Oryctolagus cuniculus: one gene and its partners. The protein of the gene in region 1 binds, or shares a complex with, the protein of each later gene. Links are inferred from orthologs where the notes say so. Each region holds a gene or a part of one and is shown in the gene's direction. Other genes may lie near its edges.

Region 1 (3,500 bases):
TGTGGGCTCCTAGGCCCCACGAGAGGCCGCACCGTACGCGGGACCCAGTGCCCGCGGGCCTTGTCTCCCAGCTGAAAGTCTCCCAGGTTTCTGCTGTTGATGGAGAGTGAGGGGAGCAGGGTGGGGCACGTGGGGAGGAAGTGTGGGCCCCGGAGCGCTGAGGCCTCTGCACGGGGTGGTGGGGGGCGGCAGCTGGCGGCGCCTAACGCTGAGGGCAGCGCTGGCCGGAGCAGCCTGTGCGCGCGGCACGGAGGCGAGCGTGTCCACCAGCTGCTTGCTGGGAGTCGGGTTTCTCGCGAGGCTCTGACCCCGGCACCGGGGTGCGCGTCTGGGCCTCGCTGCCCGCTGCAAGTGCTGAGGGCCGTGCGCTGAGTGACGCACAGCCCTAGCGGCAGAGCAAAGCCCGGGCTGCCCGCGGCTCCTCTGCCAGCGCCCTGGTGCCAGGTGTCCCCGCCAGGCGCCTCGGTGAGACAGGCGGTTCTCTGAGACGCCAGGCTCCGTGGGTTGAGGTCGGGCTGTGTGGAGCTGAGCCGTGTGGTTTTCAGTGGGGGTCAGGGTCTCTGTCCTAGGGCAGGGTCCAGGACTCAAGGCAGTGGGCAGTGGAGCTCCTGGAAGGGCAGGGAAGACAGCTGGGGAGGGCTGGGGGGAACCGGCCATGTGGGCGCTTTAGGGCCACCTGAAGGCAGGACTCCTCCCGCTGCCCCGCAGGATGAGAGGAGGGGAAACAGCGCATGGCTGCCAGGCGACGATGGCCGGGAGCAGCCTCTGAGCTCATGTCACACCGTGTCCCCTCACGGCCCCCGGCCCAGCCTCAGGCGGGGAATGCGCCAGGCTCGCTGTGGTGCCCGCCGGGGGTGCCGCCCCGCCCTGGCCCCTCAGAGCTGCATGTGCAGGGTGCTCCTGCAGGTCTCGCCTGGGGCGGCGTGTGCACGTGAGGGGAAGGGCTCTCCTGGGGACCAGGACCCCACGGCCCCGGCAGCAGAGCGTTCACCGCCCTCCCCGGCTCTGCCTCAGGTGATCCAGCAGCCCCCGAAGCCAGGAGCCCTGATCCGGCCCCCGCAGGTGACGTTGACGCAGACGCCCATGGTCGCCCTGCGGCAGCCTCACAGCCGGATCATGCTGACCACGCCCCAGCAGATCCAGCTGAACCAGCTGCAGCCAGGTGAGGCCCGGGCAGGAGTCGAGCAGCGCCAGCTCCCGGAGGAGCGCGTGCGCCGGTGCCGGTGCCGGTGCCGCTCTCGGCGCCTTTACAGACGCTTTGCATTGGTCGCTGCTGGTTTGTCCTAGATGATTCTGCACCCACAGAGTCCAGGAGATGACCTTGTAACTGTAGCTCAGACTCAGCCAGAGCTCCCGCTGGGCGAGGAGCGTCTCCCGCTGGGCCGCGAGGGCCTCGCGTCATCGCCGTGTCTTGTCTCGTAGTCCCCGTGGTGAAACCCGCCGTGTTACCTGGAACCAAAGCTCTCTCTGCGGTCTCGGCCCAGGCAGCTGCTGCTCAGAAAAACAAGCTCAAGGAGTCTGGGGGAGGCTCCTTCCGGTAAGGACCGGGCCTGCCGCGTGGGCCAGGGGAGGAGCGGTGCAGGGCACCTGGCAGCTGGATTTGGGCCATGCCTGTGCCCCCGGTTAGCCTCGGGGGCTTGCTTTGTGCATGCCATGTGGCTGAGAATTGCCTTTTTTTTTTTTTTTTTTTAAGTTTGTTTATTTACTTGGAAGGCGGAGTGATAGAAGGAGAAATTCTGTGAATTCGATTCACTTCCCACGTGGCTGTGATGGTTGGGCTGGGCTGAAGCCAGGAGCCAGGAACACTCGAGGTCTTCCACGTTGGACGCAGGGCCCCAGGTCCTTGGGCCGTCACCTGCTGCTTTCTTAGGCACAGTAGCAGGGAGCTGGATTGGAAGCGGAGCAGCTGGACGTGGGATCCCACTGTCACAAGTGGTGGCTCCGTGCAGCACAAACGCACCCCCAGTGGCTTTTATTTCAAGATTGATTTTATTTGAAAGAGTTACACAGAGGAAGAGATGGAGAGAGAGAGAGCGTGAGAGAGGGAGAGAGAGAGAGAGAGAATACGCGCGTACTTTCATCTGCTGGTTCAGTCCCCAAGTGGCTACAGCAGTAGGGCTAGGCCAGGCTGAGCCAGGAGCTTCATCCGGGTCTTCTATGTGGGTTCAGGGGCCTAAGGACTTGTGCCGTCCTCTGCTGCTTTCCTAGCAGGGAGCGGTATCAGAAGTGGAGCAGCCCGGTGTCGAACTGGTGCCCACATGGGATGCCGACATCGTAGGCAGCGGCTTTACCTGGTATGCCACAGCGCGGGACCCCCAAGTGGCTTTTTTATATGAACTGGTAGAAAATTCACTTTCAGGGCCAGCGCTGTGGTGCAGCAGGTAAAGTCGCCACCTGCAGTGCCGGGATCCCATATGGGTGCTGGTTGCTCCACTTTGGATCCAGCTCTCTGCTGTGGCCTGGGAAAGCAGTGGAAGATGGCCCAAGTCCTTGGCCCCCTGCACTCACGTGGGAGACCTGGAGGAAGCTCCTGGCTCCTGGCTTTGGATTGGCCCAGCTCTGGCCATTGCGGCCAATTGCGGAGTGAACCAGCTGATGGAAGACCTCTCTCTTTCTCTCTCTGCCTCTCTCTGTATAACTCTGACTTTCAAATAAATAAATAAATCTAAAAAAAAAAAAAAAAAAAAAAAGATGGCCCAAGTCCTTGGCCCCTGCACCTGTGTGGGAGACCTGGAAGAAGCTCCTGGCTCCTGGCTTTGGATTGGCGCAGCTCCGGCTGTTGTGGCCATCTGGGGAGTGAACCAGCGGATGGAAGACCTCTCTCTCTCTCTCTCCTCTCTGCCTCTGCCTCTTTGTAACTTTGCCTTTCAAATAATCAGCCAATCTAAAAAAGAAAATAAATTTGTTTTCATACCTGGCAGTGTGGTGTTTGCAGTCGGAGAGGTGGGCTGCACCCTGGTGTCGGCGCCGGGGCGCACTGCTGCCTGCACAGCCGCGGGGTGGGGGGGATTCTGGGGCCTCGGCCGAGCGGTGGGTGTGCAGCCTCGTGCTTGCATGTTCTCCTGGGCCTTCCCCTCCCAGACACGTGCCCTACGCTTCCGGGCGGGGTAGGCCAGGGAGCCGGGTGGAGCCAGGCAGGGTGAGGGCAGCCTGGCTTGGGGGTTGGTGGCCGCGTGGGGGGATTAGGCTCCTGTGAAATCAGGAGGTGGAAGCTGCCGGGGGCCTTGGTTTCTTGCTGTCAAGGAAGGGGATCGGAAGTGGAGCAGAGAGACGTGGGGGCAGACTCGGGCAGGCTGACGGGAGGCGTGGATTCTGGCCTTCTGGATGAGAACTGCGCAGAACCGGCCCGGATCACGGCAGCGCTCACGTCTTGTCATCTGTTAGGGAGAGACAGATTGCGTGACGGGGCCGTGCTGCAGCGTCCGCGAGGGTGCGACAGCCAGGTCGGCCCCTGCCCGGCCACACCCGTGCTGGTCCCAGCGGCCAGGGGGTGACAGGTG
Region 2 (3,306 bases), on another chromosome or scaffold:
TGGCCCCCTGGAGAGCTCCCAAGCAGAAATAAACCCAGAAGCACGGTCCCCCTCCGGGCACTTTCATAATTAAAATACACACAGAACCACACAGTGGACAGCATGCTCTCCTTACGCCATTGATTTGGGAACTTTTAAATCCACTTTGTGGTTAGTTACAAATTCCTGCACCGACACCAGAATGGGTAACTCCTGGGGAACACGCGAGACGTTTCCCGAAGCAAAACGCTTTCTGCAAACATGCCCTGACCCCCGAAGTCTAGACGCTATCTCGGCGCTTGCCGGTCCGGTACAAATGCTGTCTCAGCAGGGGGAGGCTCTGTGACCTTCCTGCAATCGTTATCTCTTATTTTCAAACTAGGTCGGCAGGAAACTTCATTTTCACGCCCTAAAACAATTCCCCTGGATCCAGAGAACGAGTCCCGGCCGGAATCGCAGCGCCGCGACTGCGTCTGCGCGCGCTCGGGGCGGGCCGTCTTTCCGCCCGGCCGTGCTGTCACTCACGGCCGCTTCCCGCCCCGCGCCGTGACGCAGCGCGGCTTTAAAGCCAGCTCTGCAAGCGGCTGCAGGCAGACGCCTGCGGAGCCTCCGGTGTGTGGCTCTGCGCAGCGCGTCTCGGCGAAATTTCGCGCTTCCCGCCGGGACCGAAGCATTGGTAATCAGTAGCGGATCACTCAGCTGAGCAGCAGGAAGAACAAAGGAGTCGGCGAGAGAAGAGGCTCCCCGCCGCTTTGCAGCGAGTGGCTTCCTCCCCCCGCCGCCTGCGCCCGGCGCGAAGCTGAATTTATAACCGTCACTGGATTGTAAGTACCCGAGGCAAAGGCAGCTCGCTGCGTCCCGCTTTTTCAGTTATGCTTGTTTCGGGAGGGTTTGGGTCGGTGTTGACTGCTTGTCCTAATTTTGTGCCGTCTTCATTCTGCAGGAGCCGCCATTTGCTTTCCTGCTCGCTCGCTCGCCCGCTTGCTCTGTCTGCATTGTCTGGAGGCGGCACCTAGAGGCTGGAACTCGGCATTGCAGCTCCAGGCTTTAAATGGACTTAATTCTCTGAATAAGCCAGTGTGTCGGTAACAAACAGCGGGTGTGGAGTGCAGCATATTTAGAGAAAAGATTTGTGGCTTGATTAAAAATTAAGACAAAACAGATGCTTAGCTACTGTTCTGCATAGAACCTTCTGTTGTTAGATTTTAATTCATAAGGAACTGGTCTTTTAAATTGTTGCAGTAGCTGAAACTTTTCAGTGCAGCAAGTGTTTATTAGGAGAAGGGAGTCAGAAAGAAGTGAAGATGAGTAAGAGCAAAGATGATGCCCCTCATGAGCTGGAGAGCCAGTTTATCTTGCGCCTGCCTCCAGAATATGCTGCTACTGTGAGGAGGGCAGTGCAGTCGGGGCATGTCAACCTGAAAGACAGACTGACCATCGAGTTACACCCCGATGGGCGTCATGGAATTGTCAGAGTGGACCGGGTCCCTCTGGCCTCAAAACTGGTGGATCTGCCGTGTGTTATGGAAAGCTTGAAAACCATCGATAAAAAAACCTTTTACAAGACTGCTGATATCTGTCAGATGCTCGTGTCCACAGTTGATGGTGATCTTTATCCCCCTGTGGAGGAGCCAGTTGCTGCTGCTGACCCCAAAGCAAGCAAGAAAAAGGATAAGGACAAAGAGAAAAAGTTCGTCTGGAACCATGGAATTACTCTGCCTCTAAAGAATGTCAGAAAGAGAAGATTCCGGAAGACAGCAAAGAAAAAGTATATTGAGTCTCCAGACGTGGAGAAAGAAGTGAAGCGGTTGCTGAGTACAGATGCGGAAGCTGTCAGTACTCGCTGGGAGATAATTGCTGAAGATGAAACAAAAGAGACGGAGAATCAAGGCCTTGACATCTCTTCCCCAGGAATGTCTGGCCACAGGCAGGGCCAGGACTCCCTGGAGCACGATGAGCTTCGGGAGATATTCAATGACCTCAGCAGCAGCAGCGAGGATGAAGATGACACCCAGCACCAGGACGAAGAAGATATAAACATCATCGACACTGAGGAAGACCTGGAGAGACAGCTGCAGGACAAGCTGAATGAGTCAGATGAACAGCACCAAGAAAACGAAGGGACCAACCAGCTGGTTATGGGCATTCAGAAGCAGATTGACAACATGAAAGGCAAGCTCCAGGAGACCCAGGACAGGGCCAAGCGACAGGAGGATCTCATCATGAAGGTGGAAAACCTGGCTCTCAAGAACAGATTTCAGGCTGTGCTGGATGAGTTAAAACAAAAGGAAGACCGAGAAAAGGAGCAGCTCAGCTCTTTGCAGGAAGAGCTGGAGTCACTCCTAGAGAAGTAAGAAGAATTTTGATCATTTTGAACCTGATGGTTCCACACTAAGAAAATCTTCATCACTTTTTCTGGATTTTAAGATTTTGCAGTAGTTCCCGTTCCTTCTAATGCTAGAAGTTCTTTTTAAATTATCTTGTTTTCAAGAAGCACTTTGCTAGGTGTTCATTCTATAGAATTAGGATTGACTAGGCAGTAATGTAATTGTTAGGAAGTTGTAGGGTTAGTGGAATGAACAGCTGAACCCTAATATTCACAGCTGCATTGCAGGACTTTGCTGCTGTTTCCCCATTTCCCGGAAGCTGCTATTGCTGCCATGTGGTGCCTTCTGAGATAGGTAAGAACCTAGTGTAGAGGCAATGAAGTTGGTTTGCATATGTTTCCCTAACTATTTTCTCAGTTAAATCAAAGCAGTTTCACACATGTAGAGATGCAAATAATTTCATAAGGTTTCTAACATAAATAAAAGCGACTAATTTTCAACTTATGTGTCTTGATTTTTTCATTGGTAATAGGAGTCAGATAATCTTTTGAGGTGGTTTCTCGGTAGAGTTTAATGATTGGTCAGTTTGGTCCTGCTTTGCAGGTAAAGAAGCAGTTGTGGGTTAAAAAAAAAAAAAAAAAGGAACATAGCAGAAATTGGGAAATGTCATCTTTGCATTCTATTAAGGTTCTAATCCACCTGCTCCATCAGGAGGCTGGAAAACATGAGATACAGAGCCATTCTAAACTACTCTAGTATTTGTAGATGAAGGCCTGCTTTACCCTTTTTTTTTTTTTTTTTTTTTTGACAGGCAGAGTGGACAGTGAGAGAGAGAGAGAGAGAGAGAAAGGTCTTCCTTTGCCGTTGGTTCACCCTCCAATGGCCGCCGCTGCAGCCGGCGCACCGCGCTGATCCTGGCAGGAGCCAGGAGCCAGGTGCTTTTCCTGGTCTCCCATGGGGTGCAGGGCCCAAGCACCTGGGCCATCCTCCACTGCACTCC
Region 3 (2,549 bases), on another chromosome or scaffold:
ATGGAACAACATTGTTGTTCTTGTCCTAAATGACGAAAGTAAGTTTGTGATTCATGTTTTCTCAAGCAGAAATGTTTTTATCTCCATTCCTCAAGCACCAGGCCTGGGGCCATTGATTACCTGAGGGTCATTTGCTATCTCAGCCTTGCTTTTATTGACTTAACTATCTAGCACTTAATTTTATAAACCAACTTAATTACCCAAATCTTTGTCTAGAATCCTGGTTTCATCTTTTTCTGAGGAGCAGCTGAACCGTTACGAAATGTATCGCCGGTCAGCTTTCCCGAAGGCAGCCATTAAAAGGGTAAGGATGGACCACCACACTTCATTTCCATCTTAAATTGGAAGTGATCCAGACTCAAGAGCCGTGTCCACTTGCATGTTGAAATGACTTTTTAGGCAAGCTAGTATATTATCTAGGAAAACAAAAATAACATGAGCTCGATTATTTGATCAGTGCCACTTCTGTAAGCCAGTGACGGTATCTCAACATATAAAGTAAGTCATTGTACACCCGAGTCCTTGTTTTAATAGTCTTAGCCCGTAGCCATTAGTAAACACTTTTCCAGCGCAAAGCTCATTTGTTGGTGCTATGTGCTAATGTCAGTCTTTGACTGTCTTAATCACAGAATTTTTGTTCTTCTTTCAAGCTGATTCAGTCTATCACAGGCACCTCAGTGTCTCAGAATGTTGTTATTGCCATGTCTGGTATTTCCAAGGTCTTCGTCGGGGAGGTGGTAGAAGAAGGTAAGTGGTGCTGGGTACAAGTACTGTACCTGTAATGATCTTGTTTTCAAGAATCTCTCTGCTAAGGACTGTATTAAGCATCTGTGGGAATTTCCACTTGTACTAGAAGTTGACCAGGTATGTAGCCCTATAGTCAATAGAGCATTATTCCTGGAAAGTTTCCATACTCGGGGGTAAGAACTATCTAGGAAATCCCCCTCCCTGATTCCTGTCCTCAGCCCAGAGTAGTAGAAGCAGATTTTATATTTTTGTCTAGTGGACCTGCTCGTTGTTGCTGCCAAAATTAAAGATGGAGAGAAAGCAACCACCAGGGCTGACCAGCTGGGATGGTGGGGAGTTGTCACTGACGTTGTGCGCCTCTGGGGACTGCCCTGCCTGTCCAGTGAAAAGTCTAGCTGATTTCACCCAGCTGGTAAAATCTTTTTTAAGCAGTGAATATGTGTTAAACTGTTGCCTGGAATAAAGCCCTGTGTGGGACATTATACTAAAACTAACATGACACATTGTATAGCATTCTCTTTAGAAGGGAAGAGGCATGATTTATTTTGTTACAAGCTGGGAAGAGTTAACAAGAATTCCAGGATTCAAAAAGATTGTGTGACTAATAAGTCCTTGTGTGATAAAGAAACTCTCTTTGCCCTGTTTAGCACTGGACGTGTGTGAGAAGTGGGGAGAAATGCCACCACTACAACCCAAACATATGAGGGAGGCTGTTCGGAGGTTAAAATCAAAGGGGCAAATCCCCAATTCGAAGCACAAAAAAATCATCTTCTTCTAGACCAAAGCCTAGAAAGATCAGTTACCGACGGAAGACATCCTGGCTCCAGCCTTTCTGTTACTGAGACTTTCTGCACTGGTGCTTTCGTACCTCAGTCCTCCAAGGATTCCCTGACAATTTTAATGTCTTTCTCGCCACACCTACAAGGCATGCAGCCTGCTTCACACCTGCCATGACTAAATTCTGGGACGTCTTGAGCATTTTGAGGTGTTGAGATGTCTTTGGGCTAGCTGGAGAACAACAGCGCATGGCCTTACCAATCTTCTGGGCTGGAAAGCTGCCTTCTGCGAGAGAACATTCCCAAGAGAGCTTGGGCGGTTTCACATTGAAGCCTAAAGTTGCTGGGACTTAGGTTGTTTCTCACATCTGGTTTATGTAGATGAAACAACTGGAAACTTCTGACTTGTGACACTCTACCAGGAAGGACACGGTGATAGCAGTTAGTGGAGTGATTTGTGATTGTAAACACTTAAGATTTTTCTGTGGATTGTGGTGAGTGATCAGTAAACTCTTTTCCAACTTGCCATCTGTGTACTCATTTTCTTTATGGTTGATTTGAATAGAGAAGTTCAGCGTTCATTTTTGGCCCCCAAATGAAACTGCTCTTGGCTTTTTTGTGAAAATTTTAGTCCTTCCCACTTTCTACTATAACTGTTAAGAAGTCACAAAAGAGCATTCCAAACACTGCTCAAAACACTGTAAAAGCCCATATATTTCCAGATTCCAGTAAAGCAGATATATCACACCATTATTGTTTAATAAGTTTAATTTGCTTTTTTTCAGGTGGTTCACAGAACCAGTACACTCAGCTTGATTAGCTATTGCAACATTAAAATTTTCCAATACTGACCAGAATTCCAGTTCATTAGATACATTCTCATTGTTTTCCTCAAACAGAGGGGAATGGAGTGACCATTGATTGACCATCATTGACCATTTATTGACAGTGATTAGCAGATATAAGGCGACTGTATATAGTTGGCAAACCCCTGGAATTCATTCTTCTCTATCATTCAGTGTCACG
Region 4 (4,300 bases), on another chromosome or scaffold:
GTCTCGAAGTGCGCCAGGCTCTGCCGCAGCTGCACGTTCTCCAGGCGCACGGCGCGCATCTCGCGCTCCTTCCTCTCCTCCAGCGCCTGCAGCTGCTCCACCTCGCGCACGGCCGCCTGGCGGCCGCCCCGCAGCCGCCCGCTGCCCATGGCCTGCAGCACCACCTGCCGCTTGAGCGCCTGGAAGCGGCGCCACTCGCGCTCCGCCCTGGCCAGCCTCTCGCCGGCCTGCCGCTGCAGCTGCGCCAGCTCCTGGTGGTACCACTCCAGGTCGTCGGCCTCCTGCTTCCGCAGCTCCTCCAGCACGGCCAGGTGCCGCACGTACGCCTGCTCCTTCTCGGGCGCCTCGGCCTCCGCGGCCCTGTCGGGCGCCTCGCCCGCCTCCAGCCCCTTCTTCCTGCGCAGCGCCTCGGCGATGCGGTGCTGCAGGTGCAGGTTGCAGCGCTGGTAGCGGCCGCGCTCGGCCAGCAGCGCGCGGTACTGCTCCAGGAGCTCGCTGCGCAGCTGGCGCTCCTGCTGCTGCTGCACCTCGGCCGACCACTCCAGGTCCTCGTAGTCGCCCGCCCGCTCCTGCGCCGCCGCCTCGGCCTGCGCGGTCGCCGCCTCGGCCGGCGGCCCGGGCGCAGCCTCGCTCGCCGTGGACGCCCGCAGGGAGGCGCGGGACGGGGCCCTCCTCTCCTCCCCCGCCGCCGCCGCCGCCGCCTCCTCTTCCTCCGCCGCCTCTGGCCGGGCCTCCGATGCCCGCTTGGCCGGCTCCTCAGCCCCGACCGTGGACAGCCTCCCCGGCTCCAGGGGCCCCTCCTCGCCCGCGGCCTCCGGGGCCTCCGGCCCTTCCGCGGCCTCGGCCTGCTCGTCCACGGGGGCGCCTCGCTCGGGGGCCTCTGCCGCCTCTTTCTCCTTCTCCTTGTCCTCCTCCTCCTCCTCTTCCTCCTTCTCCTCTTCACCCTCCCCCTCCTCCTCCGTCTCCGGCCTCGGCTCCTGCTCCGCAGGTTCACCCGGAGCCCGGGGGCCGGAGCTGGCCTCGATGTCGGATGGGCGCCAGGCCAGGCCTGCCTCGTCTCCGCTTTCCTCCATGGTGCTGACCCTGTGCTCCGTGTGGTCGTCCATCTCCGACCGGCTCGGCCAGGGCAGCGGACCTCGGCCGCAGGCTGTTAGGTTTCCCGGGGCAACCAAGGGCGCGCGCGGTGGGCCCGCCGATTGGCCCGCCAGCGGCTCGACGCCACGCCCCCTCAGCCCCGCCCCCTGAAAGCGCTGGCCAATAGCGAGCCGCGAGCGGGAGAGGCACGGAACCGATTGGGAGCGGGCGTAGGCCGGCGCCGCGAGGGGCGTGGCGCTCCGCCTCCCTCCCCGCCCGCCCCTCTCCCACCGCCAGGCCGGGGGCGGGGCGCCGCGCAGGCTCGGGGGCAGGCGGCGGCCGGCGCGCGCGGCGCGCAGGCGCAGAGCGGCGGGCCGGGTCCCCGCGCGGGGCGCCTGCGCGGTGCGGCGGGGCGACGGCTGTGGCGGCGGCGGCGGCGGCGGCGGCGGCGGCCGGGCCGGGCCGGGGCGCCTGCGAGCGGAGGCGGGCCGCGGCCCGGCGGGCCGGCGGCGGGGCGGCGCCTGGGCGGCGGCGGCCGCGGTGGCGGCGGCGGGCGGCGGCGGCTCGTGCGCGGCCGGGGCGGCGGGCCCCGCGGGCGGCCCGGCGCTGACGGCCGGCGGCGCGGCGGCGGCGGCGGCGGCGGGCGGCGAGCGGGCGAAGATGGCGGAGCTGGGCAAGAAGTACTGCGTGTACTGCCTGGCCGAGGTGAGCCCGCTGCGCTTCCGCTGCACCGAGTGCCAGGACATCGAGCTGTGCCCCGAGTGCTTCTCGGCCGGCGCCGAGATCGGCCACCACCGCCGCTACCACGGCTACCAGCTGGTGGACGGCGGGCGCTTCACGCTCTGGGGGCCGGAGGCCGAGGGCGGCTGGACCAGCCGCGAGGAGCAGCTGCTGCTGGACGCCATCGAGCAGTTCGGCTTCGGAAACTGGGTGAGCAGCCCCCGCCCGGGTCCCCGCGGGCCAGCGCGGGGCGGCCGCAGGTGCGTCCTGCGAGGGCGTGGGCCGGCCCGTGTGCTGCCCCGCCGGCTCCGGGCCTGGGCCCGCCGCCGGGCGCTCGGGAGGTGGAGCTGCACTGGACGCGCCCGGGCCGGCGGGGAGAGCCCGGGCCGGCTCCTCGGGGGTCTCCCGGCCCCCCGCCCCCACGCCCGAGCCGGGAAGGGGCACCCACCGCCCCGCGTCCCCCGCGTCCTGCGCCTCTCCGTGCGGTGAGCAGGGGCTGCCTGCGTCTCTGTGCGCAGCCCTGGGGTCTCCGGCTCCTCCGGCTGACGGTGGGCGCTGGGCCGGCCCTTCCCCCCGGAGCCCCGTCTCACTGCCCCGCGCCGGGCTCTGCTCTGTGCCGACGGCGAACGCCGGCCCTCGGCCCAGCCCGCCTTTCTTACAGCCTCGCCCGCGTGTCTCAGCGACACCGCCACTCGGGAGTCCACCCGTCACTCACGACACGCCCGTCAGGACTCCCACCCGTCTCGGGACTCCCACCTGTCACTCAGGACTCCCACCTGTCACTCACGACTGCACCTGTCACTCACGACTGCACCTGTCACTCAGGACTCCCACCTGTCACTCACGACTGCACCTGTCACTCACGACTGCACCCCTCACTCAGGACTCCCACCCGTCACTCAGGACTCCCACCTGTCACTCACGGCTCCACCTGTCACGGCTCCACCGGTCGCTCACAACACCCGTCGCTCAGCACCCCCACCGTGAACGGACACCCACCCCGGGCGCGCCTTTCCAGGACAGGTCCAGGCGCTAGCCTGCCGATGCCCCTGCTGACAGCCCGGCCCTGCCGCGCCCCTGGCGGGGTCCCCGACGGCCCGTGTCGCACACCGCCTGCGTTCGGCCTGCCCTTGCTGCGTGCCCGGTGCGCTGCCCGCCCGCCCGCACGCCCGCACGCGGGCGCTGGAGCTGTTGGCTGAGCTCCCCGTGGGCCTCGCGGGGCCTCAGCAGCCCTGGGCTGGGCCTTTGGACCAACCGGTCCGACACGGACAGGGCTGGGGAGGCGGAGCCTGCGTGCCGTGTGGCGCCTGGGGAGCCGTCCAGGTGAGGGCAGGGAGGGCCCTGGGGCGCGGCTGCCAGGGCCTGCGTGGTGCGGCGCCGGCCGGCCAGGCCGCGGGTGGTGCCGGCGCGGCTCTGGCCTCTGGCTGTGCTGCTGGGCGAGCTGCCTCACCCCTCTGGGCCTCCAGTCTGCGGCTGGAGCCGCGTGGTTCCGCCCGCGCGGGGGGCGGGGTCTCGCTGGGCCACAGCTCCGAGCCGGCGCCTGTCCAGGAGCCCGTGGCTTTTTTTTTTTTTTATTTTAAATTCTATTTCTCTTTGAACCTTTTCGTGATTTTTAATTCTATTTATCTTTGAACTATTTTTTGGTAATTTTTTATTATGTTTATCTTGGAACATTTTAAGGAAGATTTTGCTTTTATTTTTTGAAGGGCAGAGTTGGGTCCTCCGTCTGCTGGTTCACTCCCCAAGTGGCTGCAGTGGCCAGGCGGGGTCAGGCCGAAGCCGGGAGCTGCTTCCGGGTCTCCCGTCCTCGCCGCTTTCCCAGGCCACAGCAGGGAGCTGATGGGAAGTGGGGCCGCGGGACTGAACCAGGGCCCTGATGGAGTGCTGGCGTCGCAGGCGGCCGCTGTGCTCCGTGCACCGCAGTGCCGGCTCCGGTCCCGGGACTTCGTAGGTGCTGGAGCCGGGTGGCTGCGGGCTGTGGGGTTCCCGAGCCTGGGCCTGCCGCCCGGGCTCAGCACTCAGGACCCTCGAGGCTGGGGTGTGGCCAGATCCTGCGCTGGTTCCGTGGGAGCCCACGCACGGGACAAGGACAGGGCCGCGTCGGGGAGGTGGAGGGAGGAGCACGCCAGGCCAGAGGCCCCGACTTCAGCAGCAGGTCCTGGGTGAGGCTCAGCGGGAGTCGGGGGTCGCAGGCGGGGCGGGCTGAAGGCAGCCGAACCATCACAGGAGGGGCCGGGCCTCGAGGGGCCGTGGGAGTCGAGGTTTGAGTAGAATGGGACAAGCATGTGGCTTGTCTGGAATCTGGCCAGCCCGGCGCATTGCCCGTGCGCCCCGGCTCATCCTAGGAGGCAGGGGAGTCCCGAGGGAGGGCTTTCCCCGCGTGATGACAACGGCTGCCCCAGAGCTGGGGAGCCGGGGCCGTGCCGTCTCGGGGCCCTCTGTGCGCCGCCCTGCTGGACCTCGCCAGCGCCGGGTGGTGAGTGGGCGCGGGCGGGCCACAGGGAGG
Region 5 (3,500 bases), on another chromosome or scaffold:
AGAATTTTGAGATTGTGGAACTATGCAGGCTGGCAGCAGGGCTTGTCAGGACCCACAGGCATGCATGTGATGCCGGAGCAAACACCTGAAGCCTGCTCATGGTTTCAAGTGGCTCTCCATATGGAAGTTCCCACTGAACCCCGTGAGGCAGCTGTGTGTGTGTCCACCTTGCTGGTCAGGGAACAAGGCCAAGGAAGATAAATGTGGAATAGTAAAAAGCAAGAGGCTGTTTCAGTCATTTAGTGAAGATGAGGATGGTCATATTCTATGGCCCTGCAACTTTATTTCTGGGAATGGAGCTTAGGGAAATTCTTGAATATGTTTTACATATTAATATGCAACATTTACAAGTGATTGTGTCCTACCTTCAGTTGCGTGGACAAAAAAGGATATACTTACTCTTACCCTGGAATACTATATAGCAATTAAATAATATAGATCTGTATGTGTCAGCATGGGTGAATCAAGACATAAAACTGAGTGGGAAAAGCTAGTTGCAAAGGATAAATAAAGTGTGATATTTATATAGAAGCTAAAGCACATCAAATAATAACAACATATTTAATGTTTATGGACATCTGCAAAAAACAAAACTACAAAAACATACCTGCTAATTTTAAGACAGTGGTTGCTTCTGGAGCAGGGGTGTGAGAGAGAGATTCATCTTAAGCAGCATGACAAAAGACTATCATTGTTTATCTCTATACCTCAGTGTGTGTTATATCGTTTTCTCTATGCTTGAAATGATACATAGTTTTTTTTAATATTATTTGAGAGGCAGAGTTACAGAGAGGTCTTCACCCCCTGGTTCACTCCCCAGATGGTCGCAACAGCCAGAGCTGGCCTATCCAAAGCCAGGAGCCAGGAGCTTCTGGGTCTCCCACATGGGTGCAGGGGCCCAAGTGGGTGGGCCATCCTTCACTGCTTTCCCAGGCCATTAGCAGAAAGCTGGATCGGAAGTAGAACAGCCCATATGGGATTGCTGGCACCACAGGCAGAGAGGCTTAATCTGCTATACCATAGCACCGGCCCCAATGATGCATAGTTTTTTAATAAAGAAACTTTTTTTAAAGAAGAACATTGGAGGCCGGTGCCACAGCTCAATAGGCTAATCCTCCGCCTGTGGTGCCAGCACATCGGGTTCTAGTCCCGGTCGGGGCACCAGATTCAGTCCCGGTTGCTCCTCTTCCAGTCCAGCTCTCTGCTGTGGCCCGGGAGTGCAGTGGAGGATGGCCCAAGTGCTTGGGCTCTGCACCCGCATGGGAGACCAGGAGAAGCACCTGGCTCCTGCCTTCGGATCAGCGCAGTGCACAGGCCGCAGCACACTGGCCGTGGCAGCCACTGGAGGGTGAATCAACGGCAAAAGGAAGACCTTTCTCTCTGTCTCTCTCTCTCACTGTCCACTCTGCCTGTCAAAAAAAAAAAAAAAGAAAGAAAGAAAGAACATTGGAATTAGGCCTTAGTTCAAAACCTGTCACCCATTTCCTCAAATTCCTCTATTTCTCTGATCTTCAGTTTCCTCATCTATAAAATTAGGTAATCATAACATCTTTGAAGTTCTTGAGAGGACTGGATAAGATGATCATGTCAAGGGCCGAGTGTAATGCCTCACCTCTTAACCATGGGGATACATTCAAGGAAACATATTGTTGAGTGGTTTTTGCTGTCAACTGTGGCAGCTACAACATCACTAGGTGGCATTCTCTGGGGCCACCATCATCTATGCAGTTGACAGTTGAAATGTCACAGCACGTGACTGTAGTAGGTTTTCTAATGACTTACCCAGAATCTGTCACAATTAGCAAATCTGTGGCAGTTGCAGGATTTGCATTCAACTCACGTAGCCTAAGTCTGAGTCCAGTACTCCTTCCACTTCATAGGAGTTACATGAAGAAGATATTGTTAATGAAGAGGATCACCGTCATGTAGCTCTAGTTATTAGTTGGTAGCATGACTGGAAAGGAGCTACAGCGGCTGTTGTACTCTGAGGAAACCATCCCTCCCTCCTGCCACTCACCGTGTCTCCGCAGCCCTTCTGAGGATCTTAACATCTTCAATACCGGCCATCAGACAAAACCAGAACTGAAAATGTCTTCAATGACATTGAGGGTATTCATTCATTGGAATTAAGAGATAAATGTTAACCTCTGTTTTCAGCCACAATGTCCACCAGTTTAGACTGGCTTGCATTGTGGTAATTAACAACTCAGAAAGCTTGCCACCTCCCACAACCAATGTTTATGTCTCCCTCCCGCGCTGCGCTGCATGGGCCCTGGCTCCATTCCGCATCTTTTTCATCCTGGAATTTGAGTGGAAAGAGCAGTCTTTTCCATGTGGGTCATTAAAGGACGTGGAGCAGAGGGAGGGGAAAGCTTGCTTTCGGGATGGTTCCCCAAGCTGCTTCTGAGAAGTGGCACACCTCGCTCACCTTTCATCAGCCACAGAAGCCGCATTCCGGAGCTGAAAGGCGACAGAGAGGCACATGCTATCCTCTGCAGGAAGCGGCCCGCTGTTACATTTCAATGAACAAGCCGGGTGTACCGGTTGCTAAAAAGTCTTAAGTATGTAGACATTGGGGGCAATTTTGGAAAATTAAAAACTCTAAATTGAGAAGTTAGTTGATGAAGAACCTTGAACTGGTGAGTTTGTTAGCTATCTCTGGGCTCCTAAAGGGGTGTTTTACTACTAGAAGAAAGTTATTTGGTGATATTGTCTTCAAGTATGTGGTTTGATCTGATTAGCCCATTTTGACTTTTCTGTTTCTCTGTTTTGTTAACAGTGTCATCAGCAAAGTTGTTCCAACCCCCGAGGCTAAGCCGACTCCTTCTCTGAATAGACCTAAAACCCCACCACCAGCCCCAGCCCCTGTACCTGTGCACGTGAACCCCACCCCCATGCCATTGCCACTCCTCACCCAGGCCACTGCATGCCCAGCTCTGATGCCTTCTCCAGCCCCCGCCATGTCCGGAGCAGGAAGCTCCAAAGCTCCCGTGCGCAGCGTGGTGACAGAGACGGTCAGCACTTACGTGGTGCGTATGCTTTGTTTTCAGAGTTTAGGAGAGCCTACTTTTATTTTTATCATAAAATGTTTTAAAGAGGAAGTGTCATATGTATCATTATTGAATTTCAAAAGCAATGCTTCTGAAATGATTGCGTTTTTGAGCTGTTGGCTGAAAAATATTTTGTTCAGTCTCTGTAAATGACAAAGCATTGTTTTTCTTTATTCATTCTTGTTTTGTAATATGAGTTATTTATATGTAACAATTTCAATGTATAAGTGTAAAAATGAATAGTGATCTTTAAATTTCACCCTGAATTTCTTGATCACATTATTGACATAGAGTATGATTTCTGTAATGTATGCAGATCTTAGGAGCCAGCTGGTGATTCTGAGGCACAGCACTAATTAGAACATTGTGTTGGCTAAGATCCAGAATATATACCAGGGCCTGCATATTACATGGAAATGAACTTTTAGAACCAGAGCTTCCTCTGAGTAT
Region 6 (4,033 bases), on another chromosome or scaffold:
AACAAACTTAAGATTTCATTTGAAAAGCAGAGTTAGAGAAGGAGAGAGAGGGATCTTTCATCCGCTGCTTCACCCCCACATGGCTGCAGCAGCGGGGCTGGGCCAGGCCAAAGCCAGGAGCCTGGAACTCCATCTGGCATTTGGCTCTCCCATGCGGGTGCAGGGCCCCAAGGAGAGCAGCATCTTTTGCTGCTTTCTCAGGCACACTAGTAGGGATCTGGATTATTAGTGGAGCAGCTGGGACTAGAACCAGCGCCACGGGCGGCTTAACCTGTTGAGCCACGTCAGCCTCATTTGCTGAATGAACATACATTCAAACTGGGCCTTGAAAAGATGTACAGTTCAACAACAAAAACTGATATGCCAGACCCTAAAAAGAATGAATGTAGCAGACAGGGAAACAACGCGAGGCAGACAGCCGAAAGCCTAATGTGACGAAGCTCTTACTGTAAACCCAGCGGCAGTGTAGTGGGATGAGGGTGGGAGACAGGAAGACAAAGAGGGCAGGTTGCTGCACCGGTCTTGGCAGCCCTTCCTGCCACAGCCCTGTGTGTGTGTATGCACGCGCACGCACGCGTCTTACTCTGAACCCACGGATGCCGGAACCAGGTCTTGCTTACAAACTTACAACTAGCAAAAATACAGCAGTTCTCATAAAGTATTTGGCAGAGGAAAGAACTGAAGGCATCCAAGCTTGAGGGAGTTCTGAGTTCAAGTTAAGGCTCTGACCTTATCAGCCAGACCCCGGCTTAATCTCTCACGGGCTCCCTCTAGATAATTAAATGACATATGGGAGGTAGGGGCTTAGCACTGTTTGCTAGCGGAAAATAAGCGCTTCACTGCAAATTCACAGGCAGAACCGGTCTGTCGTCTCCAGGTTACTGTGTTGCCAACTCCTCGGCAAGAGTCCAAAAAAATACACACAGCATGCTGCAGTCCCAGGTGACACCCCCGTCCTGATGCCACGACAAAGGCATTAACCAAAAATGGCGACCTCACAGCCATCCAAGGGCATCAGTTATCGATGATGCTACCGGGTGATACAAACAGTGTCTGGAAGCAACACCTAGGGCAGGGTTCGAAACGCCAGGGCAGAAGACACAGCGTTCGCCCACGCTGCCAGACAACCGCACGCGGGAAAAACGGCGGCCACCGAAGCTGAGCTCCAGCCCTGCACCGCGACCGCATGTCGGAGGACGGTGTGCGCCTGCGCAAGCCAGGCGCGCGCCCGCCGGCCGGAAGAGCCGCGCGTTTCCGGGTTGGAGGCGGGGAGCGGTGCCGGAAGTACTCGGGGAGGGCCGCGCAGTCGGACCGGCTGCTGAGACGAACGCTTCACTGGGGCAGTCTCCGCATATCATGGGGAGATAGACGCTGCTGCCTGTGAGTGTTGGGCCCTGGCAGTAGAGGAAGAAGAGCGGGAGGAGGGAGTCAGGACCCAGACCCACAGTGGGTCACTGTTTGAAGGACCAGGCTGTGGAGGAGACGGGGCTGTGAGGAATCCGGCTCCTGGGACGGGACTAAGGGGATCGCGCTCGGAGGAGACGCGGCTGTGAGGGTCCGGGCTGCCGACGGGACTTAGGAGACGGGGACGGATGCGAGTTCCCTGGCACCTAAGGGAGAGAGGTTTGAGAGGGACAGGGTTGTGAGGACCCGCGCTCCTGAGAGGAGAAAGGGTCGGAACGGAGTGGCGCGTGAAGACACGGGCTCCGGCGAGGTGAAAGTGGAGTAGTGAGGACTCGGGCTCCTAGGAGGCAGGAGCGGGACCGTGAAGACCCGGGGTGGGCTGCGAAGACTTAGCTTCCTGAGGGGCCGAAGCTGGCGGAGAAGACTTGGGGCTTCTGTGGGCACGCGATCCGGGCTTTGAGACTCCAAGTTTCGGAAGGAACGGGGCTGTGAGGATCCGAGTTCCTTAAAAGCGGAGAATCGAAGCGGCTGTGGGTGTAAGCGATCAGCCTTCAAGGGAAAGAGAGAGGACTGGGGAAAGAGAGTGATCCGTTTGCAAGTAGTCTCTGACCCAGAGTGCTAAAGGATACAGGGATGGATATATGTATTCTGTATACATTTCTATTTTCAGGGGAGGAGGAGTCCTCCTTCGCGCTGCCTGCTTGGCTTTTGGCAGGCTTGTGTGTGTCAGATACTTAATCTTGGAAGCCCACATAGAAGCATCTTCATTTTCTGCTTCATTCTTGCGAATCGGATGTGAAGTTGAAAACACTTTGAACCCAGTTGTATACTTGATAAGTGCTTTAAATTTCTTTCCACTAAACCCTGACGGAGCACAGAGCTCTGTATCTCAAATAAAAGAATATCAGAGATGGAAGAGCCCCAAAAGACCATCTCTTTCCAACGCCTAGTTTACATTTAAGGGACCCGAAGTCCAAAGAGGGATTAGAGTCACAGTGAGACAGTGGTTACTTAGAGCATAATTTTGATCAAGTATCCTGTGGACGGTAAATAGGAGACGCTTGGTTAATGTTCCTTGGAAAGTGCTTCTAGAATCTTTGTTCTCTCTTCAGACTCAGGAGGAAGATTCTGATAGATTCTAATGCTTTATTTTGAGTCTTAGTGTGTTGACATTGAAACAGTGAATGTCACCAGTAAGAAAACTTTTAAATGAAACCTAATGTTATTTATTTATTTTAAAATAAGCTATCTAGAAAATTGTGCCCTACATTTATAGCAAAAATATTTACTAGGAATGGCTGTGTTTGTTTATTTTAAAGATTTATTTATTTGAAAGAGTTACAGAAAGGGAGAGAGAGAGAGAGAGAGATCTTCCATCTACTGGTTCACTCCCCAAATGGCCATAACTGCCAAGGCCGGACCCGGCAGAAGCCAGGAGCCCAGAGCTCCCTCTGGATTTCCCAAATGAGTGGCAGAGGCCCAAGCACTTTGGCCATCTTCTCCTGTTTTCCTAGGCGCATTAGCAGGGAGCTGGATTGGCAGTGGAGCAGCTGGGACTTGAACCAGCATTCATAATGGATGTTGGCTTTGCAGGTGACAAGTTAACCCACTGCACCACAAGGGATGGCTGTTTTTAAATAAGGATGGTGTGGAGACTTGACCAGTTACTTCTCCTTTTTAATAATAGTATTTTTTTTTCTTTTACTGAAACCTACTCAGACTAACCAGGTACCATTTAAGCACTTTTCACCTACTGTGTCACTTAATTATTACAGCCCCACAAATTAGATATTGTTAGTCCCATTGTACAGATAAAGAACTAGGTTCAGAGAGGTTAAGCATTTTGCCTGAAATTGAATAGGACTGAATGAGCCAGCCCCAATTCTGTGTGTCTCTACAGCTTCTACTTTTCTAAATGGATTCTTCATGTCTTGATTTGCCCATCAACAAAACAGAAGTAATAGTGATACAAGCATATTATTGAATGAAAGCACTTTCCTTAAAAAAAAAAAAAAAAACTTATTCATTTATAAGCCAGAGTGACAGAAAGAGATCTTCCGTCTGCTAGTTCACTCCCCAAATAGCTGCAGTGGCCAGTGCTGGGCCAGGCAGAAGCCAGGAGCCAGTAACTCCATCCCAGTCTCCCATATGGGAGACAGAGGCCTATCTTCCTCTGTTTGTCAGGTGCATTAGCAGGGAGCTGGATCAGAAATGGATAGACCAGAGCTCAAACTTGCACTCTGCTATGGGATTTCTGCATTGTAAGTGTGACTTAACTCATTATGCCACAAACTCCAACACCTTCCTTCTAAATTTTGTTAATATCAAGGACTATATTGTGCTCGCTCTGGCAGCACATATACTAAAATTGGAATGATAGAGATTAGCATGGCCCCTGTGCAAGGATGACACACAAATTCATGAAGCATTCCATATTTTTAAAAATATTAACATAAAAAAAGGACTATAACTGATTTGGGTACATATGTAGTATAATATTCAAGGAGAACTAAAATGTGTTTTCACAGAAGCATAGATATTCAAGATAGAAAAAACTTATTCCTGAGTTAACATTCTCATCTGCATATTTAAAATGTTCTCTTTCACTTCATTTGTGGTCCAGCATTGG
Region 7 (4,131 bases), on another chromosome or scaffold:
CAAATAAATAAATAAATCTTTAAAAAATACAATGTGGCAAAATGCTGAAAATTGTTAAATCCTGAAACTAAAATGAGAACTTATCAAAAAATGCCCAAATAAGAAATAAATATAAAAGAATCTATTAATATGTTTTTTTTATTTTTTTTATTTTATTTATTTATTTTTTTGACAGGCAGAGTGGACAGTGAGAGAGAGAGACAGAGAGAAAGGTCTTCCTTTGCCGTTGGTTCACCCTCCAATGGCCGCCGCGGCCGGCGCGCTGCGACCGGCGCACCGCACCGGTCCGATGGCAGGAGCCAGGAGCCAGGTGCTTTTCCTGGTCTCCCATGGGGTGCAGGGCCCAAGCACCTGGGCCATCCTCCACTGCACTCCCTGGCCACAGCAGAGAGCTGGCCTGGAAGAGGGGCAACCGGGACAGAATCCGGCGCCCCGACCGGGACTAGAACCCGGTGTGCCGGCGCCGCAAGGCGGAGGATTAGCCTAGTGAGCCGCGGCGCCGGCCTATTAATATGTTTTTAACACGTAAATTCTCAGGCATGACAACACAGGAGGTATAATAACAATGTGGTTGCTTGTACCTAGATGTAAATTTACCTCGAATGTAGGAACTACAAATGTAGGCAGATTCCAGGTGAGCACTATTTAAATTACAAGCGATATTGCCTTTGGTGGCAGTATTTCCTCTTAATAAGTTCCAAACAAAGCAAAATGCAACAGATCACCAATTTTGAAGAAGTAACAGTCACAGGAAATCCAATGTTCATTAAAAGCATGGGAAAAATAGTTTATATAAAATAATATTTTCAGTCATTGAATGTTCAGCAGGACATAGAGAAATCGTGTGTATTATTGGACTTTTTTATCGTGTGGCATCATCCCTTAGGTTGCAGGATATTTTATGTCAACTCCAGCCTCTTACTGCGTGTTCTCATTGTTAAAACCCAAATTCTTCTCCAGAAAATTTTAAATCGTCTCTAAGGATAGCGCCCCCTTGAGAACTAGTAGTGAAATATAGTACCCCACAATAATTAACAAAGTGCTTGGGATCAATAGTGCAGGCGTAACTCATTGCACTTTAAAATACACCCCTCAGAGCAAGACCGCGGGATCGCCCTCCTACGCTCCAGGTCAGGAAAGGTGGATTCAACACGCACAAGGAGATGTAGGGTGATAAGAGGATACACACTGCCTGGTGCATTTCTTTCAGTTTGCTAAATTTTAGTTCCTTCCTCGGGATTACAGAACCCAGAGCTCACGCTGCTACCCTACAGACCGTCTCTCTCAGCGGTCGCTAGGCAGCTCCCCCTCCCAGGCGTGTTTGCGGGGACCCGGCCCCGCCCCCTACGTCACCGGAAGTGACGCAACGGAAGTAGTAAAAACCCGCTGAGAGCGAGCCGGCGCGGCACAGTAGGTTGTCGGGCTAGTGTAATGGCAGATGAGGAAGAAGATCCCACCGTGAGTGACCGCCTTTGTCCCAATCCTCCCTTTCGCTCAGGCTTAGTGACGGAAGCAGAGTTCAGAATGGGGTGTTTTCCTTAGTGAATTCAGTCGAGAGAGTTCGGGGACCAGTTGTGCTTGTCTTTTCCTTCAGCTTCATGGTTTTAGTACTCCGGGGCAGGACGTGAAGTAGTGGGAAGGTAGCCCCTTTCCCTTCGGATTCGGGCTGAATCTGCTAGACACTTTGTGAAACTAGACGATCGTCAGAGCTAATCACTCGTATTTGTTGGTGCTCGTTAAATGAACCAACAATCTAGCTGCTAACAGAATTGGATATTTATTGTGAAGTGTTGGAGAAATAACGGACCACAAATCAGAAGCCTGGATTTCAAAATCTCCATTCTCACCGAACAAGTTATTTAACTTTCAGCATCGGTTGTTCTTGATATAAAATAAGGTTAAAACAGATAAGGAAAGGTTTTAGCACTGTATAAGCAGGTGCTTAGTTAAAATTTTTCCTTTTTTGCTGCAGGGAGGTAGGCTTTGATTCAGTATCGGTCCTTGAATGGCAACACTGGCTAGCAGTAGACCAACTTAGTTGGTTTTAAACAAAAAGAACTTGCGGCTGTTAAAAGGCTTACGTGTCTAGGCAGGATTGTTGTGGACAGTGTAGAAACCATTTTTGCGGGAATTGAAATTTTGACTAGGTAGTCTCTAAGGGCTCTTTAGTGCTAAGTTATCATGATTTTTTAGTGCTTGCTTTTAAGCGTTTTGGCCTGATATTAGTGTTAAAAATGAAAGCAAGTTATTAAAATATCAAATGCAATGCAATCACTTGACATTTCTATATATACATTTTAACTTCTAGTTTGAGGAAGAAAATGAAGAAATTGGAGGAGGTGCAGAAGGTGGACAGGGTAAAAGAAAGAGACTCTTTTCTAAAGAATGTAAGTAGTATTTGACAGTGATTTTATTATAGATCATGCAAACTTTTGGACATGTCCTTTGGAATAGATTTATATTCTGAAAATGTTTGCAAGGATAATATTCTCAAAATTGCCAGTAAAGTTCAATTTAATTTTTGCCTTTTTTTAAAAGATTTATTTTTATTTTATTTGAAAGAGTTACAGAGTGAGGCAGAGTCAGAGAGAGAGGTAGGTCTTCCATCCTGTGGTTCACTCCCCAGATGGCCGCAATGGCTGGAGCTGTGCCGATCCGAAGCCAGGAGCCAGGAGCTTCTTCCATGCGGGTGCAGGGGCCCAAGGACTTGTGCCATCTTCTACTACTTTCCCAGGCCATAGCAGAGAGCTGGATCGGAAGAGGAGCAGCCAGGACTAGAACCGGTGCCCATATGGGATGCCAGCGCTTCAGGCCTGAGCTTTAACCTGCTGCGCCACAGCACCAGCCCCTCAGTTTAATTTTTGAATCACAGATACTAACCCCAGTTTAACGTATAATTGTGTTTTAAATTGTACAGAATTTAAGTGAGGGAATATTGTTATGTCTTTCTGTTAGGCTGTCACAAAAACACACCAAACTCCGGAGTAAGGGAAAGGGTTTATTGAGAAAAGCCAGCAGACCGGAAGGGTGAGGTGATGAAGGGAAAAAGGGAGAGGAGAGTATAAGAGAAAGAGACACGGAGAGTAGAGGAGCTAGTGAGGAGAGAAGAGAGACGAGAGGAGCCAAGAGAACAGGAGAGAAGAGCCAAGAGTGCCGCCTGTTCAGGAACAGGCCCTTTTAAACTTTGCCAGAGGGCGGGCAGGGAAACAGGAGCAGCGAATCCCGTTAGGATGGGGGTGGAGCTTGACACTGGTGGTTGGGCCATGTGGCTACATGGCTTTCAGCAATGGCTGTGAGAACCGGGGCATAGGATGTAAATCATGGTGTAGATAGCGCCATGGATAAAACTGCACCAGTTTCCTAACAAATATGATCAGTGTTTCAATTCAGGACAAAACAATATACCTCCACGTTTTCCTGGCCCTTACCTTTGCAACAGTAGAAGCAGGAGTTCTTTTGACTGTGGGCACTGAAACAGGTGCTGAGGGTAGGGGCTAAGTTGAGACTTTGGACTAAGGGCAGTGAACAGGGCAGGAAGGTGAGGAACAATGTGAGACATACAATGGCATGAAGATAATATAATGTGTTAGTGCTTTGTCCCACTCCCTCAGTAGACAGATTTTACCCTTTTTAGACAGCAGCATGAAGAAAGGAGATCTGTTCCTACTGCTGATAGTCCAGGACAACATTTAAAAGTCATCATGAGAATAGCTTTTTATCTCCCAGTACGGATTCCTTTATATCTATATAGCTGGGTATTGAGAGATGAGACAACACAGATTTAAGAATACCTGTTTATTAAGGTTGGGACAGATACGAGCAGTTTACATGTGATGTTAAAACTGCACATCAGTATGTCTTTTTTATTTGAAATTTATTTGAAAGGCAGAGTGACAGAAAAAGACAGAGATCTTCCATCTGATGGTTCGCTCATGCCCACAACAGCTGAGGCTTGGCTAGGCCAGGCGGATGCCAGTTGCCCAGAATGCCATTTGGGTCTCTTACATGGGTGGCAGTGGCCACAGTACCTGAGCCATCACCTGCTGCCTTCCAGAATCACAGCAGCAGGAAGCTGGATTCGAAGTAGAGTAGATGGGAGTCAAACAAGCACTCTGATGTGGAATGTCAGCC

The links.
Region 2: TAF4 (region 1) and TAF7 share a complex: the UniProt entries of both Homo sapiens proteins name them as parts of the TFIID basal transcription factor complex. The link is inferred for Oryctolagus cuniculus from reciprocal best matches to the Homo sapiens genes TAF4 and TAF7.
Region 3: TAF4 (region 1) and TAF11 share a complex: the UniProt entries of both Homo sapiens proteins name them as parts of the TFIID basal transcription factor complex. The link is inferred for Oryctolagus cuniculus from reciprocal best matches to the Homo sapiens genes TAF4 and TAF11.
Region 4: TAF4 (region 1) and TADA2B share a complex: the UniProt entries of both Homo sapiens proteins name them as parts of the TFTC-HAT complex. The link is inferred for Oryctolagus cuniculus from reciprocal best matches to the Homo sapiens genes TAF4 and TADA2B.
Region 5: TAF4 (region 1) and TAF3 share a complex: the UniProt entries of both Homo sapiens proteins name them as parts of the TFIID basal transcription factor complex. The link is inferred for Oryctolagus cuniculus from reciprocal best matches to the Homo sapiens genes TAF4 and TAF3.
Region 6: the proteins of TAF4 (region 1) and TAF12 are in contact, whole or in part, in a crystal structure (PDB 1H3O), measured with the Homo sapiens proteins. The link is inferred for Oryctolagus cuniculus from reciprocal best matches to the Homo sapiens genes TAF4 and TAF12. Residues at the interface, in NP_003176.2 of Homo sapiens: Phe872, Leu873, Leu874, Pro877, Leu878, Arg880, Arg881, Ile882, Ile885, Gly886, His889, Gly890, Ile891, Thr892, Glu893, Leu894, His895, Asp897, Val898, Tyr901, Val902, His904, Ala905, Thr906, Gln907, Gln908, Arg909, Leu910, Gln911, Leu913; in NP_001128690.1 of Homo sapiens: Val57, Leu58, Thr59, Lys62, Leu63, Leu66, Val67, Glu69, Val70, Glu74, Met83, Leu84, Ile87, Ala88, Asp89, Phe91, Ile92, Glu93, Val96, Thr97, Cys100, Ala103, Arg104, Ser108, Ser109, Thr110, Leu111, Glu112, Val113, Lys114.
Region 7: TAF4 (region 1) and TAF13 share a complex: the UniProt entries of both Homo sapiens proteins name them as parts of the TFIID basal transcription factor complex. The link is inferred for Oryctolagus cuniculus from reciprocal best matches to the Homo sapiens genes TAF4 and TAF13.

The regions. Positions count from the first base shown.
Region 1 is NC_091442.1:1,313,606-1,317,105, forward strand, and holds part of TAF4 (transcription initiation factor TFIID subunit 4), read left to right. Parts: intron 1-1,014; coding exon 1,015-1,162; intron 1,163-1,422; coding exon 1,423-1,537; intron 1,538-3,500. UniProt on the Homo sapiens protein: The TFIID basal transcription factor complex plays a major role in the initiation of RNA polymerase II (Pol II)-dependent transcription.
Region 2 is NC_091437.1:28,859,471-28,862,776, reverse strand, and holds TAF7 (transcription initiation factor TFIID subunit 7), read left to right. Parts: upstream 1-1,283; coding exon 1,284-2,333; 3' UTR 2,334-2,806; downstream 2,807-3,306. UniProt on the Homo sapiens protein: The TFIID basal transcription factor complex plays a major role in the initiation of RNA polymerase II (Pol II)-dependent transcription.
Region 3 is NC_091436.1:134,556,532-134,559,080, forward strand, and holds the end of TAF11 (transcription initiation factor TFIID subunit 11), read left to right. Parts: intron 1-216; coding exon 217-304; intron 305-650; coding exon 651-747; intron 748-1,394; coding exon 1,395-1,525; 3' UTR 1,526-2,049; downstream 2,050-2,549. UniProt on the Homo sapiens protein: The TFIID basal transcription factor complex plays a major role in the initiation of RNA polymerase II (Pol II)-dependent transcription.
Region 4 is NC_091433.1:3,121,707-3,126,006, reverse strand, and holds the start of TADA2B (transcriptional adapter 2-beta), read left to right. Parts: upstream 1-1,500; 5' UTR 1,501-1,734; coding exon 1,735-2,004; intron 2,005-4,300. Other genes in the region: CFAP184 (cilia- and flagella-associated protein 184), read right to left, coding at 1-1,106. UniProt on the Homo sapiens protein: Coactivates PAX5-dependent transcription together with either SMARCA4 or GCN5L2.
Region 5 is NC_091444.1:75,261,815-75,265,314, reverse strand, and holds part of TAF3 (transcription initiation factor TFIID subunit 3), read left to right. Parts: intron 1-2,779; coding exon 2,780-3,029; intron 3,030-3,500. UniProt on the Homo sapiens protein: The TFIID basal transcription factor complex plays a major role in the initiation of RNA polymerase II (Pol II)-dependent transcription.
Region 6 is NC_091438.1:143,057,361-143,061,393, forward strand, and holds the start of TAF12 (transcription initiation factor TFIID subunit 12), read left to right. Parts: upstream 1-1,233; 5' UTR 1,234-1,380; intron 1,381-3,742; exon of another isoform or gene 3,743-3,844; intron 3,845-4,033. UniProt on the Homo sapiens protein: The TFIID basal transcription factor complex plays a major role in the initiation of RNA polymerase II (Pol II)-dependent transcription.
Region 7 is NC_091438.1:61,355,567-61,359,697, forward strand, and holds the start of TAF13 (transcription initiation factor TFIID subunit 13), read left to right. Parts: upstream 1-1,331; 5' UTR 1,332-1,431; coding exon 1,432-1,458; intron 1,459-2,308; coding exon 2,309-2,387; intron 2,388-4,131. UniProt on the Homo sapiens protein: The TFIID basal transcription factor complex plays a major role in the initiation of RNA polymerase II (Pol II)-dependent transcription.